3 linked regions of the Danio rerio genome follow. The protein of the gene in region 1 interacts with the protein of each later gene in a pairwise test. Links are inferred from orthologs where the notes say so. Each region holds a gene or a part of one and is shown on either strand. Other genes may lie near its edges.

Region 1 (3,654 bases):
TTAAACTCTTCATTCCCTGCATTTGGGTCCTCGCCTCCTCTTCACCACCCCCATATCGTGACAATAACTGGCCTAATTACCCTAACCTGCGTAGTTCACCTAATTAACCTAATTAAGCCTTTTAATGTCACTTTAAGCTGTATAGAAGTGTCTTGAAAAATATCTAGTCAAATATTATTTACTGTCATCATGACAAAGATAAAATAAATCAGTTATTAGAAATAAGTTTTTAAAACTATTATGCCTAGAAATGTGCTAAAACAATCTTCCCAGAACAGAAGAGAAATTGGGGGGAAAAATAAACAGGGGCGCTAATAATTCTGACTTCAACTGTATATGTTACAATTTTGAATTTAAGAGGTACAAAACTAAAATAAAGAAACAAATGATGTCTTTGATAACCAGAAAGGGATATTTGAACCTATCGGTTTACATTATATGGATGCCCTGTTTTTCTAGGCTTTATTGGTGATAATGGTCAAGAATGTTAGACCATTATTGCCTATTTAGCTTAAGTAGAGGGTGAGAGCCAGTAGGGGTGTCAAATTTATTATTTCTTCGGTCGGTTTTGTTTGATCGCTCCCTGTCATTTAAAAGAATATTACAATGGCGAACGCGGCAAGTATAAAAGCCTTGTGCATTTCGCAAGGTGCGTGCAGTCAGCGGAGTTGCGCGATGCGGCGCCAGGCGAAAGACTGATTTCACGCGGCCGCCATTTCTAAAAGCGAAATGGCGGCTGCGGTGGGAAGAAACCCGGAATTATCATTGGGAGTTACATAGTAACGTTGTGTACCTGGCTGTATATCTTATCAGCGAAGAGAAAGTGACACAAATTTATAATTTCACCGCCTTCCGAGTGACCCGAAAGTCCGTTCTGAATGAATGGTGAAAATAAAAAGAGATATCAGAGCTCATTTTCAGCTAAGTTAAGGGAAATGGCACTAGTTAGCTAACGTTTTCTTTCCCAAACACACGTTTTAGATGCCATTTTTCAAACTCGAGTTAATAAACTGATTCTTTCACTATATTAGACTTGTCAGGATACTGAATTAAAAGACAAAACATTAATTTCCCGCTAATATTTAAGGCACTGTTGATGGCTTTCTTTAAACAGCGCTGATTTGCCATTGTGTTCACGTGTTCAACAGAAATGATTGTGATTGGCCGAGAAGGTCATCAGTTCACCCACCACTGTTTACCGAGTACACAGACAAGCGATCGGCTTGATGACGACTGATCTTGACGGCTGCTTCGCGCTCCTGTCCGTGTATCTGTGTTCGCACGGGGTGAGAAGCAGTAAACTGAGTGCAAACCAAACACAGATACACGGAGACTGAAACGCTAAGCAGCCGTGACGATCAGTCGAGTCATCTGCGCTCAGCAGCGCTTTCATGTTAGCGGGAAATAGCCAGGTTTAAAACTTCAGTACCGGGACAACACTATACGCTTATTTCACACGGCCGCCATTTTAAAGAACCAAAGCGAGGCTGCGGTGGGAAGAAACCCAGAAGTATAGGACCAGCACTGTAAACATTGCAGTAACATGCTGTGTACTACAAACCTCCAGCTGTTGCCGAGATTTCAAAATGCAGAAATGGTGTAAACATCACTTTAATATTATTTAGTAAGTTTATTTTAAACAATTAAAAGCAACTTAGCATCAAACAACATCACAATCTCAGCGATACGCTTAAGTGTCCTCCTGGGCTTCAGTTCATGGCACCAGTTAAACACCGTGAGGACGCTTTCCTGCTTCAGCTTATGTAACCCGGTGAGCGATAAAACACTGCAGTCTTATACTTCCGGGTTTCTTCCCACCGCAGCCTCGCTTTGGTTCTTTAAAATGGCGGCCGTGTGAAATAAGCATATAAATCCAGCTTAAGGTGAAAAGGAACAAGGGTGTCTGTGATATACAAGGTTTTCTTACTTCGGGGGAACATTCTCTGGTCGACTGGACCAGTCTGCAACCCAGCTCTCTCCTTTATTCATGAGGATATCGTCTTCTTTGTCCTTCTCCATACTGTCATCCTCTGACTGAAATAGATGAGAAATTCAGCCTCATGATCAGAGTTTTAGATGATTCAGTAGTGATTGCAGATTACTGTGGATTCAGTCTGACCTGACAGTCTCTCTCGCTGGGCATCTCCACATCAAACATGATCTGACCCTCGTCCTGGTCAGGACTGTGTGGCCGTGGAGGACTGAAAACACACAGAAGAGAGGTGCACCGATCAAACAAAAAGATCTCTGTTCCAGACTCGCATGCAAACTGCACTGCAATGATTTCATAGTGCCGAGTGTGTAAACGAAGTGTTGGGAGAAAAATAAAAAGCGTCTACTGAACCATGCAGTGTAAATGCATCTAAAGTGTCCTGGTATCGTACCTGTTGCAGGACGAGCTGCTGGGACTGGACTCGTGTTGAGCGTCCAGCAGGATTTTCTCCATGTCTCCATTATGGATGGAGGAGGAGGAAGGCACATGCTCTAGTCCTCCTGTCAGGACCTCCTCTTCCTCCTGCACGGCCTCCAGGGCCTGTGAAGTCTGGGGCTCGCCTTGGTTCCCGTTCCCCAGCAGTGAGGGCAGGCTGGGGCTCTGATGCTGAGTGTTTCCATTCATCTCCAGCTCCACCCAGGACCCTGATCAACAAAAACAGTCATTAGCATCAGCTGCTGCTTAACAGATTAATGCATCTGGGCCCCAAATAACCCTAACCCAGGGGTGGCCAACCCTGTTCCTAGAGAGCCGCTACCCATATCAAACACACCTGCCTGTAATTATCACGTGGTGTTCAGGTCCTAATTAATTGGTTCAGGTGTGTTTGACATGGGTAGCAACTGAAATCAGTAGGAAGGTGGCTCTCCAGAAACAGGGTTGGCCACCCCTGCCCTAACCCTAAGAGCTAATGCACAGACTTAATAAGCTAATACACATCTTTTCTTTCTTCTTTCATTCTTTCAATGCTAACCTCTGCCTGACCCAGATGTGTCTATTGGAGTGAAGCTGAGCAGGCATTTCAATTCATCCTCTAGGCAGAGGATTGTGGAATTGAGATCAAGACAGAGTAGGAGAGTGTGTGCACATTTTAAGCAAAGAAGAGACGAAACAACATACATTTCATTCCTAGAAGAATCAGAGGCTAACATGCTCTGTTGTCCCGGGGCAAACATAAGACACGCATGTGTTCTGTCTGACCCTCACTGTTGCTAGGCAACACAGAAAGATCCAGTATAATAACATGATGGAAAGTTGCTAGGGAATTGTTATGCGGTTGCTAGGGAGTTCTGGTTAAAAGTCCATTCACTAATCTCAACAAATGCTTTGAACAGAGCGTTAAGTAGATATATATAATATACTTTAATAATTAACATTTGCGATATTACCAAGGGCTTTTTAAAATACATTCATTGATTTATTTTCCTTCGATGTAGTCTCTTATTTATTAGGGGTCGCCACAGAGGAATGGACCGCCAACTATTCCGGCATATTTTTTACACAGCGGATGCCCTACCAGCTGCAAACCAGTTTTGGGAAACAAACACACAAACACACACAAAAACACAAACACAAACACACACACACACAAACACACACACACACAGGCCAATTTAGTTAATCCAATTCATGGCGCATGTGTTTGAACTGAGGGGGTAACT
Region 2 (4,277 bases), on another chromosome or scaffold:
TTCAGAAAACAAAACGTTTTGTTCTGTGTGGCAGAATGGCATAAGAAACAGTTGTGGAAAAAAAAGACCCTGGCACAAGCACATGGGCGGCTCAGTGTAAAAGTCCCAGAACATCCAAAGACCTACAGTATAAGAGAGACGTCTGACAGCTAGACGAGTAACACTATCAGTTCTGTACTTTCTCTTCTCATTCTCTCGTCGCATTACCTCACACAACCACTGCATTCCCACATAACAATGTGATTCCCTAGAGCAAATGTCTCTCCACCCGAGTGGCATTTCTGACATCTGTGACAACTAAAAGCAGATTATGTCACAATCAGGAGTCACGATCAGAAGTTCATTGTGTGCAGTGATTTCGGGGAACAACCTGCAGATTTTTTTGGGGAGAATTTGGGAAATTTTGCTGAGGCAGATGAGGTGGATTTGTGCTCTAGACTGGTGGTCGAAAGGTGGAGATGTTAGGACATACAGTATGTGTCAAATTACAAGACATGACAGGTTCCAACCAGAAAGGAATTTCGTGACACCTCCGAATTACAGTGTTTAAATCATTTTCACATTACTTCAAATGTAATGGCATTTAACTGTTAATATAACACTTAAAATCATTCCCAGTGATTAATTTAAGACTACAAATGAGTACAGCCTGAAATCACTGTATTTATTTGAGTAAAATGCTATGCTGTTAAAACTGTTGAGTCATGCATTGGGAATGAACATACAAATCGTTCTGTCTTTCTCTATGAACATCCCTAAAATGCCACTGCTATATGTACTACAGTAAACATGGCAGATTAAAACAAAAAAATACAAAGTACAAAAAAAATTATAAAATAATAGTAAATAAAACGGCAATAAAATAAGTAGCTAAAGTACAAAAATTACTAAAACCGATATATATAATAAAAGATGTTATTTTTTAACCCAGACATTTAAAAAGAACTTATTTTACAGAAGTAATTACAATATAAACTACGAATATAAATACTATATATATATATATATATATATATATATATATATATATATATATATATATATATATATATATATATATATATTATTTGCATGGCACATGGGTAAAGAAATCTTTTGGCTTTAGACATCCCCATTCTCACGAGTTTCTAAGTTCTCTTACCCTTCCAACTGAGTTTGTTCTTCCGAGGCAATCTGGAAACACCTCAGTGCTGCTGCGAATAGCCTTGTAAATACCTGTCCTGCTTATTTAAATCACCTGCTTGATTAAACTAATTAAATTAAAATTGACCGGCACAATGGATGGTTTTGTAAATAATACTGAAAACAGTTTAATATAGGTTTCTCTGAAACGGTGAATATTTCACTTTCATTTTATTTAGGCTAGATTATTATTTTATTTAACAAATCAGTTTGCGTTTTGGCGCTGAAGCATATAGTGAACTGGTTTTGTAGCACTCAGATAATATTTATTATTGTTGTTTATCTAGTAGATAACCAACAAATAAAAAATGTATTCAAATTAGGATACAAGGACGTGCTTTCATTTTCTCAATCTCACTCGCGGCAAGTTCAGTTGAGGGAGTGTTTAAGCAAATCATATACATATTTATATATATATATATATATTATATATATATATATATATATATATATATATATATATATATATATATATATATATATATATATATATATATATATATATATATATATAAACAGGAAACATAAGTTTGATCCTATCAGTTTCGTAACAAATGCCCTTAAATAATAGGCCTATAGCGTTTGACAGCAAGCACCAGTGCTTTTCAGGTTGAAATATGAATAAGGGATGATGGGGCAGGGTGGTGCTGGATATGTGCGTTCTTTTGAATAAAATCCTGCAGGCCCCTGACTTTAGATATTACTCTAGAGAATCATTCTAATACTAGCTCTAAAGTGACGTTGGTGAAGTAGCAATGGTTTTTGCTGTTTTGACATCAGCTTCAGATGTGAATGAATGGTAAAAGAAAGTAGTTCCTCATTCAAAAGAATTTTTAGACTCTGTTTGATTTTCTTTTTTAAACACAATAATGCCGTCAAACTGTTGTATAAACGCATTATCACACGAGTAACAGTGCGATATGACTGTTTATTGTCACTAGTGGAACACTAAAGCATGCAAACACGTTTACGCACGGCTCCCACCAGTGCTGATATACAGCCATATCACACTGCTACTCGTGTAAAATTGCTATTGCTCATATATAAAATATAATAACTTTCAACTAATAAAAATGAAAATAAAAAAAACTTCAATAAAATATTTTATTAAATAAAATATATGTATTAAATGAACTTTAAATACTAAAACTACTAAAACTTAAAAATAAATTAGTAAAAAAATACAAAAGAACAAATAGGCCCACACTTAAAAAATGAAAACTAAAAAAAATATCAAATAAAAGCTACATTTTACTTTTTAATACTATAACCTCAACTGTAATTGTAGCGGTAAAAAAACGAATATTTTTTATAAAAAACTAACAACATTTAATAATTAGCAGCAGCATGGCATGCATGTAATTTTTATAGAATACTTAATGTGATTGAGAATACTGTGAGTATAGCCTTCAAATTTTATTCTTTTTTTTTTTTTTTTTACAAAATTGTATATAATTTAAGGCATGCCAAAATGACTAATTCAGGACTAGAGACGGGAACTGCCTGGGATCAGCAAGGATATATTTGAGAAATAATTATGCTGTTAAAACTGTTGAGTCATGCATTGAGAATGAACATACAAATCTATCCATTTATAAACACGACATAAATGCTGTTGCTACGGACTACAGTAACCACCGCAGAAGATTAAATGTTTGACCAAAGATTCAGACAGGGAAATAGTGACTCACAGTTGCCGAAGCCCAAAATCAGGAATTGTTTGCAGGCGTCATGGATCCACCATCGCCGCACACTAGCAGAGCAGTGAGTGCAGCAGAATGATGGAATCGTGCGGCGTCCTCTAGTGGCCGATACATAGAAACGCAGAAATTTACCGTGGTCTACAAAAACATACACAGGTAATGAATTTTGACTGAAGTATTAAAAAAATCACACATTTTTATCAGGCTCCCATTTAGTAACTTGACGAATAGCAATGAAAATTTTAGTAGCTTGATGTATATGCCTTATTTTCTTAGCATTATAGTGACTGTGAAAGATCCTCATGATTCTGATCAAAACAAACAAAAGGTAAGATTTGCTAACTTATTCTTATTTTTTTTAGCACATAGACATTTGGCTACATGAAACATTAGGTCAAGACTATTTAACTGAAAGTCTGATTGACAAAACCCTGTAAAACCCTGGTTGCTAACTTTTTAGCAACTTGTCATAATACCCTAGCTTGTTTCCCTAAAAGCACCCAGCAACAAATTTAGCTATTTTTAACATTCATTTGGCTTCATTTAGCAACTTTTTAAAGAGTGTCTCAAATCAAAAGAGCAGTAGCTACTAGTGACTGCAGGCTTCGGCTAACTCTAAATCTAAATAGCTGGGCACAGAAGAGCAGCCAAAATAGTTCCTGGTAAACCAGAGAGACTGAAACGCATTTCTAGGACAGCAATTCAAGCACCCTTAGAATTTTTAGAAATTGTTCTTCCTGATCCGTCCAGTAGGCGGTGGTTGGGTTAAGGCATAGGGGTGGGGTAAGGCCATATTTGATCCTAGAAATGTAATTCTGAAACTGCAGCCTCTGGTTGTGCAGCACCAGCAATATTTGTGGGCTGAATGCAAGAGCAGTAGATAATATTTCACATTTTGTTAACAACCATTAACATGTAGGCTATATTTTTTGTACATTTAGATAGCATTAACTACCAATACATTGATATAATTAAACATATTTCAAATAATGTTTTGCTAAGATGGGCAGTCTATTTAAAAAACTCATGGATTCATTAATTCATTCACTTTTCACCTAAGTCCCTTTATTAATCAGTGGTCGCCACAGCAGACCTATCCCTGGGAAACATCCATACACACTTATTCACACACATACACTACGGACAATTAAGCTTACCCGATTCATCTATAGCCCATGTCTTTGAACCTGTGGGGAAAACCCAGAGAAAACCTACGCGAACATAGGAGAACATGCAAACTCCACACAGAAATGCCAACTGACCCAGCAGGCACTCGAACCAGCAACCTTTTAGCTGTGAAGCAACAGCTCTAACCGCTGCGTCACTTCGCCACCCCAAAACTCATGGATTATTAGTTTAAAGATACATCTAAGCCCAGCAACCCCCCCCCCC
Region 3 (4,451 bases), on another chromosome or scaffold:
AAAACAAGACAATATGTTTTGCTTGTCTGGAAATTTTTTCTTGATTTAGGAATTTTTAGATATTTGTACTAGAAACAAGACAAAACAAATCTAAGAAAGAAAAGCATTTTTTGCAGTGTATACAGGGCTAAATGCTAAGAATAAGGAAAAGACTTGTCAAAAAAGTATTATAATTTAATACATTTAATAGTAATAATAACAATAATAATAATAATAAAATATAGGCCAGGTCAGTATTAAATGTTACTGTAAGAAAAGTAATTAAACCATTACGGTAATAGAGTTAAAAATGCAATCTTTAAACAAAAAGTTAAAATGCAAGACCTACAACACAACATTTCAGTAGATTTAAGACTTTTTAAGGCCCAAAATTTAGTTATTGAGATTTTAGACACTTTAAGACTTAAGACCCCGCGGACACCCCGAAATATAGTTCCCATTGATGTATATTTTAAGACTGAACAATATTTGGCTGAGATACAACTATTTGAAAATCTGGGGTATATGAGTAAAACTAAAAAAAAATGAGAGAATCGCATATAAATTAAGCTCTGAGCATTGCATATTACTAATCAAACGTGTAATTTTGTGATATTTATAGTAAAACATGTACAAAACATGTTGATGAATCATGATCAGTACTTTATACTCTTATGACTTTTGGCATAAAACTAAAATCAATAAGTTTGATCTAATCAATGTATTTGTGGCTGTTTCCAAAAATATAGCCCTGCAACATTAGATTAGTTTTGTGGTCCAAGGTCACATATTTGTAATGTGATAGACGGGTGGACTTAACCAATAAGCGAGGTAAGCAGCTGCTAAGGGCCCCTGGGAAATAGAGGGCCCCAATCAATGCTAAGAAGCCGAAATTAATCATATAGCTTGTTTATAAATATTCTATCATATGTTGTAAAATCTGTCTGTAACCATTCAGATTTTCCCGCAAATACTTCTATTCAAATTTGGGGCCCCCATGAATAATGGAACATTCCTTCTGTACTGCACATGCAAATATTAAAATCTAATCACAAATATGGCTAATAAACTGTACATCATTTGTTTTCAAACCTTTTTTACTGGTGAATTTATTGCATTTAATATTACATTACGAAGTTAAAAGTTCCACTCAAAATATATTTTAACATGAAAAAAAAAAATAAAATCTAAACTGTGTAGCCTTAAATTTAAGCTGAATTAAACTAACTTTGAGCTCATTGAACTTTGTTAAACTGACTTAAAACAGCTTGCGTAACTTTAAAAAATAAGTTAGAACATGATTAACTTAGCTTAAGTTACAATAAACTAAAACACATGTTGTCATGATTATATGTTATGATAGCTGTATTAAAGGTTATGATTGATTCACCTCTTGTTACAGTTATAAAATAGTTTGATGGCAATATGGAAATGTTCATGGGCCAATGATATCACCACATAGAAATGGTCTATACCCCTGCAACACTAGATTAGTTTTGTGGTCCAAGGTCAAATATTTGTAATGTGACAGAAAGGGGCGTACTCAACCTATAAGTGAGGTAAACTTGCTGCTTAGGGCCCCAGGAAATTAGAGGGTCCCGATTAATGCCAAGAAGTCTATATTAAACATATAGCTCTTATAAATATTCTATCATATGTGGTAAAATCTGTCTGTAACCATTCAGATGTTATTGCCATCACATCTTTTCAAATCTGGAGGCCCCCATGAATAATAGGGCTAATTAACTGTACATCGTTAGTGAACTTGATTTTTATTGGTAAATAACTTTTATTTATTTTAAATTTTACATTATAAAGGTTCCACTTAAAATGTATTTTAATATGAAAAAACGAGAAAAATATATATATATATATACGCTGTAAAAAACAACTGTTTGCCTTAAAATTTTAAGCTGATTCAAAATAACTTCATGAGTCCATTAAACTTATATTATGTTAAACTGACCTAAATTAGCTTGCATAACTTAAAAAATTAAGTTAGAACATGATTAACTTAGTTTAATAAGTTACAATGAACTTAAAACATATGTTGTCATGACTAATTGATCATATAATTGTTTACAGTGTAGAGAAAGAAGATGCTTTGAGTTTCAATGCTAGAGCCCCATACCTGAAATTGCCCTCTAATCACCAAGTAGGCCTCTGGTGACAGATTATTAATTAAATATCTTCCTAAATTACCTTAACTCACTCCATTAATAGAAATAAGCAAATTTACACGACATGCCAAATCCACTGAGCACAATGCAGCATAGCATGAACGTAAATAAGCGCTGACGGGTGTCACACTATGAATCAGCTCTACAGGTGGGTGTGACATCTCGTGTTGTGCTCAACTTCTTTTGAAGACCAAAACAAGTTACACTTCTCAGTATGTGAGCTGAACGAGTGTTAAAATTACCCCCTAGAAAGGCAGCAGGGTCCCGTTCAGACTCGCTTCATTGTGGAACATGCTAGAAATCTACCGCATGACAGCGTGAGCGCCGCACTTTCTTTTCTGCATTAAAGTTGCGTGACGGTGTTTACATTGAAAACGAGTTCCTACCGACAACAAATCATCGACCTGTTGCATGCAAATGACTTGAAAAGTATCCAGTTCCACTTCACAGTCTCTCTCACACACACATGGCTCGCCCTGTTGCTTGTGATAATGCACTAATGTGGTCTGCGTCTCGTTCACTTCCACGCACTTTTCGCTTACCGCTGCAGTGTCTGTGTTCCGCTACACCCGCGCGCACCGCCCGGAGGGGTTCCGTACTGTACGGTTTGAATGTTTTCCGCAGTCGTTGTCACGGTTCCCGGAGGTTTTCAGTGAGTGAGCGGGGGCTCGACCGAGATTACGTGGCAGTAATGGAGCGTCACGCGCACGAGGAGGCCGAGGAGGAGGCGCGCGCACGAGCGAGCGCGCTCTCCCTGTCTGCGGGGGCACGAGAGAGAGGAGGTGAAAACGAAATAATGAAAACATCTGTAGCGTCAGTGAATTCGCACAACCGACAGAGGAAGACACAGAGGCGTTCCATGCCTAATGTTAGGAATTAGAAACGTTTACTAACATACAACATCTACACGAACAGACTGTATTAGTACAATTTAGACATGAAGAAGTAAAGACTGTATCCAAAATCAACCCTGTAAGCTCAAATAGTGCATGTATTTAAGAGAGCAGGCATTTATAGTGGTGGCCGAAATCATAGTGGACATTAGGTGCACTCAATCAATCCCACAATGCACCGCAATAACAAGTCTACAATCCATGTACACTCTACAGCTAGAAAATCCCTATAATGCACTGTTATTACAGTTTGTGCCAAATGAATTTCTACATCTGACAACCAGATGGCATTTAAAGAGCAATTCTACCTTTGTACATTACAAAATCAAATATTATAAAATTAAAGTAACATAATTTTTGTATAGGCTGCATGACAGAAATGAAATGTCTTTGTTTTATTATTAATAGACCGCTCTCACTATAAAGGCTGAATCATACTTCTGTCAAGTGCACGCGTATTAGAGATGCGCGGATCAGCTAAAATGACACCCGAATCTGCAGCTTCATACTAACAATCTACTTGCCACCCTACCGCACTTAATAGTTTTATCTGATATATGTATCCGCACCTGACCCGCACCCCATCGTCACTTTAATAATTGAATCTTTTGTTTTAGGCAGGTCACCGTGGATATTAACAGCAGATTCAGTGAGCTAATCTGCGCATCTCTGATAGTAAAGTAATATGTTTATCTGAAACGTTTTTAAATCAACATTTATTTATAAAAACAAAAGTTTGTCTTTAGACAACATTAACTTCATTTTCAAATAGATACAGAAAGTAAAAATAAGACATTTCAGCTTTTACAGATACAGGAACAAGATAACAAAAAGGGTGCCACTTCAGCCTAAATGGCAGGTATGTTGTGTTTACTTGGCCTTTTTCTTCACACTGTGCCAAAACAGAACAGCATCTACTGTGCCTGGATTCGGGCAATTCTGCCTCACCACCAAAACATGGCCAGCTGCACTGAATGAGCGTTCACTCGCACCGCTTGTTGTAGGAATAAACAAGAATCTCCTTGCAAGGTGCTGCAGTCGTAGAAATAAGCGATCTCGTTTCTCCCAGAACGAAAGCAGATTTTCCTCTGATGACTCCTCTAACTGAAACTTTGAACAGTAGGCTACTCTTGCACTTCATCCATTATTTTAGGTGTCTCATCTTTTCATTCTGCAAAGCCCACTCTCTGCTTTATCGCTGGTCCACTGCCATGTCCTGCTCATCATCCACCTGCAACTCACCCGATATTAATCATAATGTATTTTTTATTACTCACCCTTCCCGACCCCTGGATTATTCGAAGCTGCCGTGGATATAGCCGCCATCCTCGCATCACTATCATGTATGCTCCGATGCTGCCTGTGCAGTCGCAAAGATTTGGCCATGGGTGATGCTGAC

The links.
Region 2: the proteins of bnip3la (region 1) and lmna interact in a two-hybrid assay, tested with the Homo sapiens proteins (2 studies listed by BioGRID and IntAct). The link is inferred for Danio rerio from reciprocal best matches to the Homo sapiens genes BNIP3L and LMNA.
Region 3: the proteins of bnip3la (region 1) and smco4 interact in binary tests that used the Homo sapiens proteins (3 or more experiments, as listed by UniProt). The two-hybrid records come from large-scale screens. The link is inferred for Danio rerio from reciprocal best matches to the Homo sapiens genes BNIP3L and SMCO4.

Annotation. Positions count from the first base shown.
Region 1 is NC_133183.1:6,737,719-6,741,372, forward strand, and holds part of bnip3la (BCL2 interacting protein 3 like a), read right to left. Parts: intron 2,638-3,654; coding exon 2,385-2,637; intron 2,202-2,384; coding exon 2,120-2,201; intron 2,035-2,119; coding exon 1,928-2,034; intron 1-1,927.
Region 2 is NC_133191.1:33,786,910-33,791,186, forward strand, and holds the start of lmna (lamin), read right to left. Parts: upstream 2,949-4,277; 5' UTR 2,874-2,948; exon of another isoform or gene 2,541-2,873; intron 1-2,540.
Region 3 is NC_133190.1:43,945,361-43,949,811, forward strand, and holds the start of smco4 (single-pass membrane and coiled-coil domain-containing protein 4), read right to left. Parts: upstream 2,889-4,451; 5' UTR 2,702-2,888; exon of another isoform or gene 2,691-2,701; intron 1-2,690.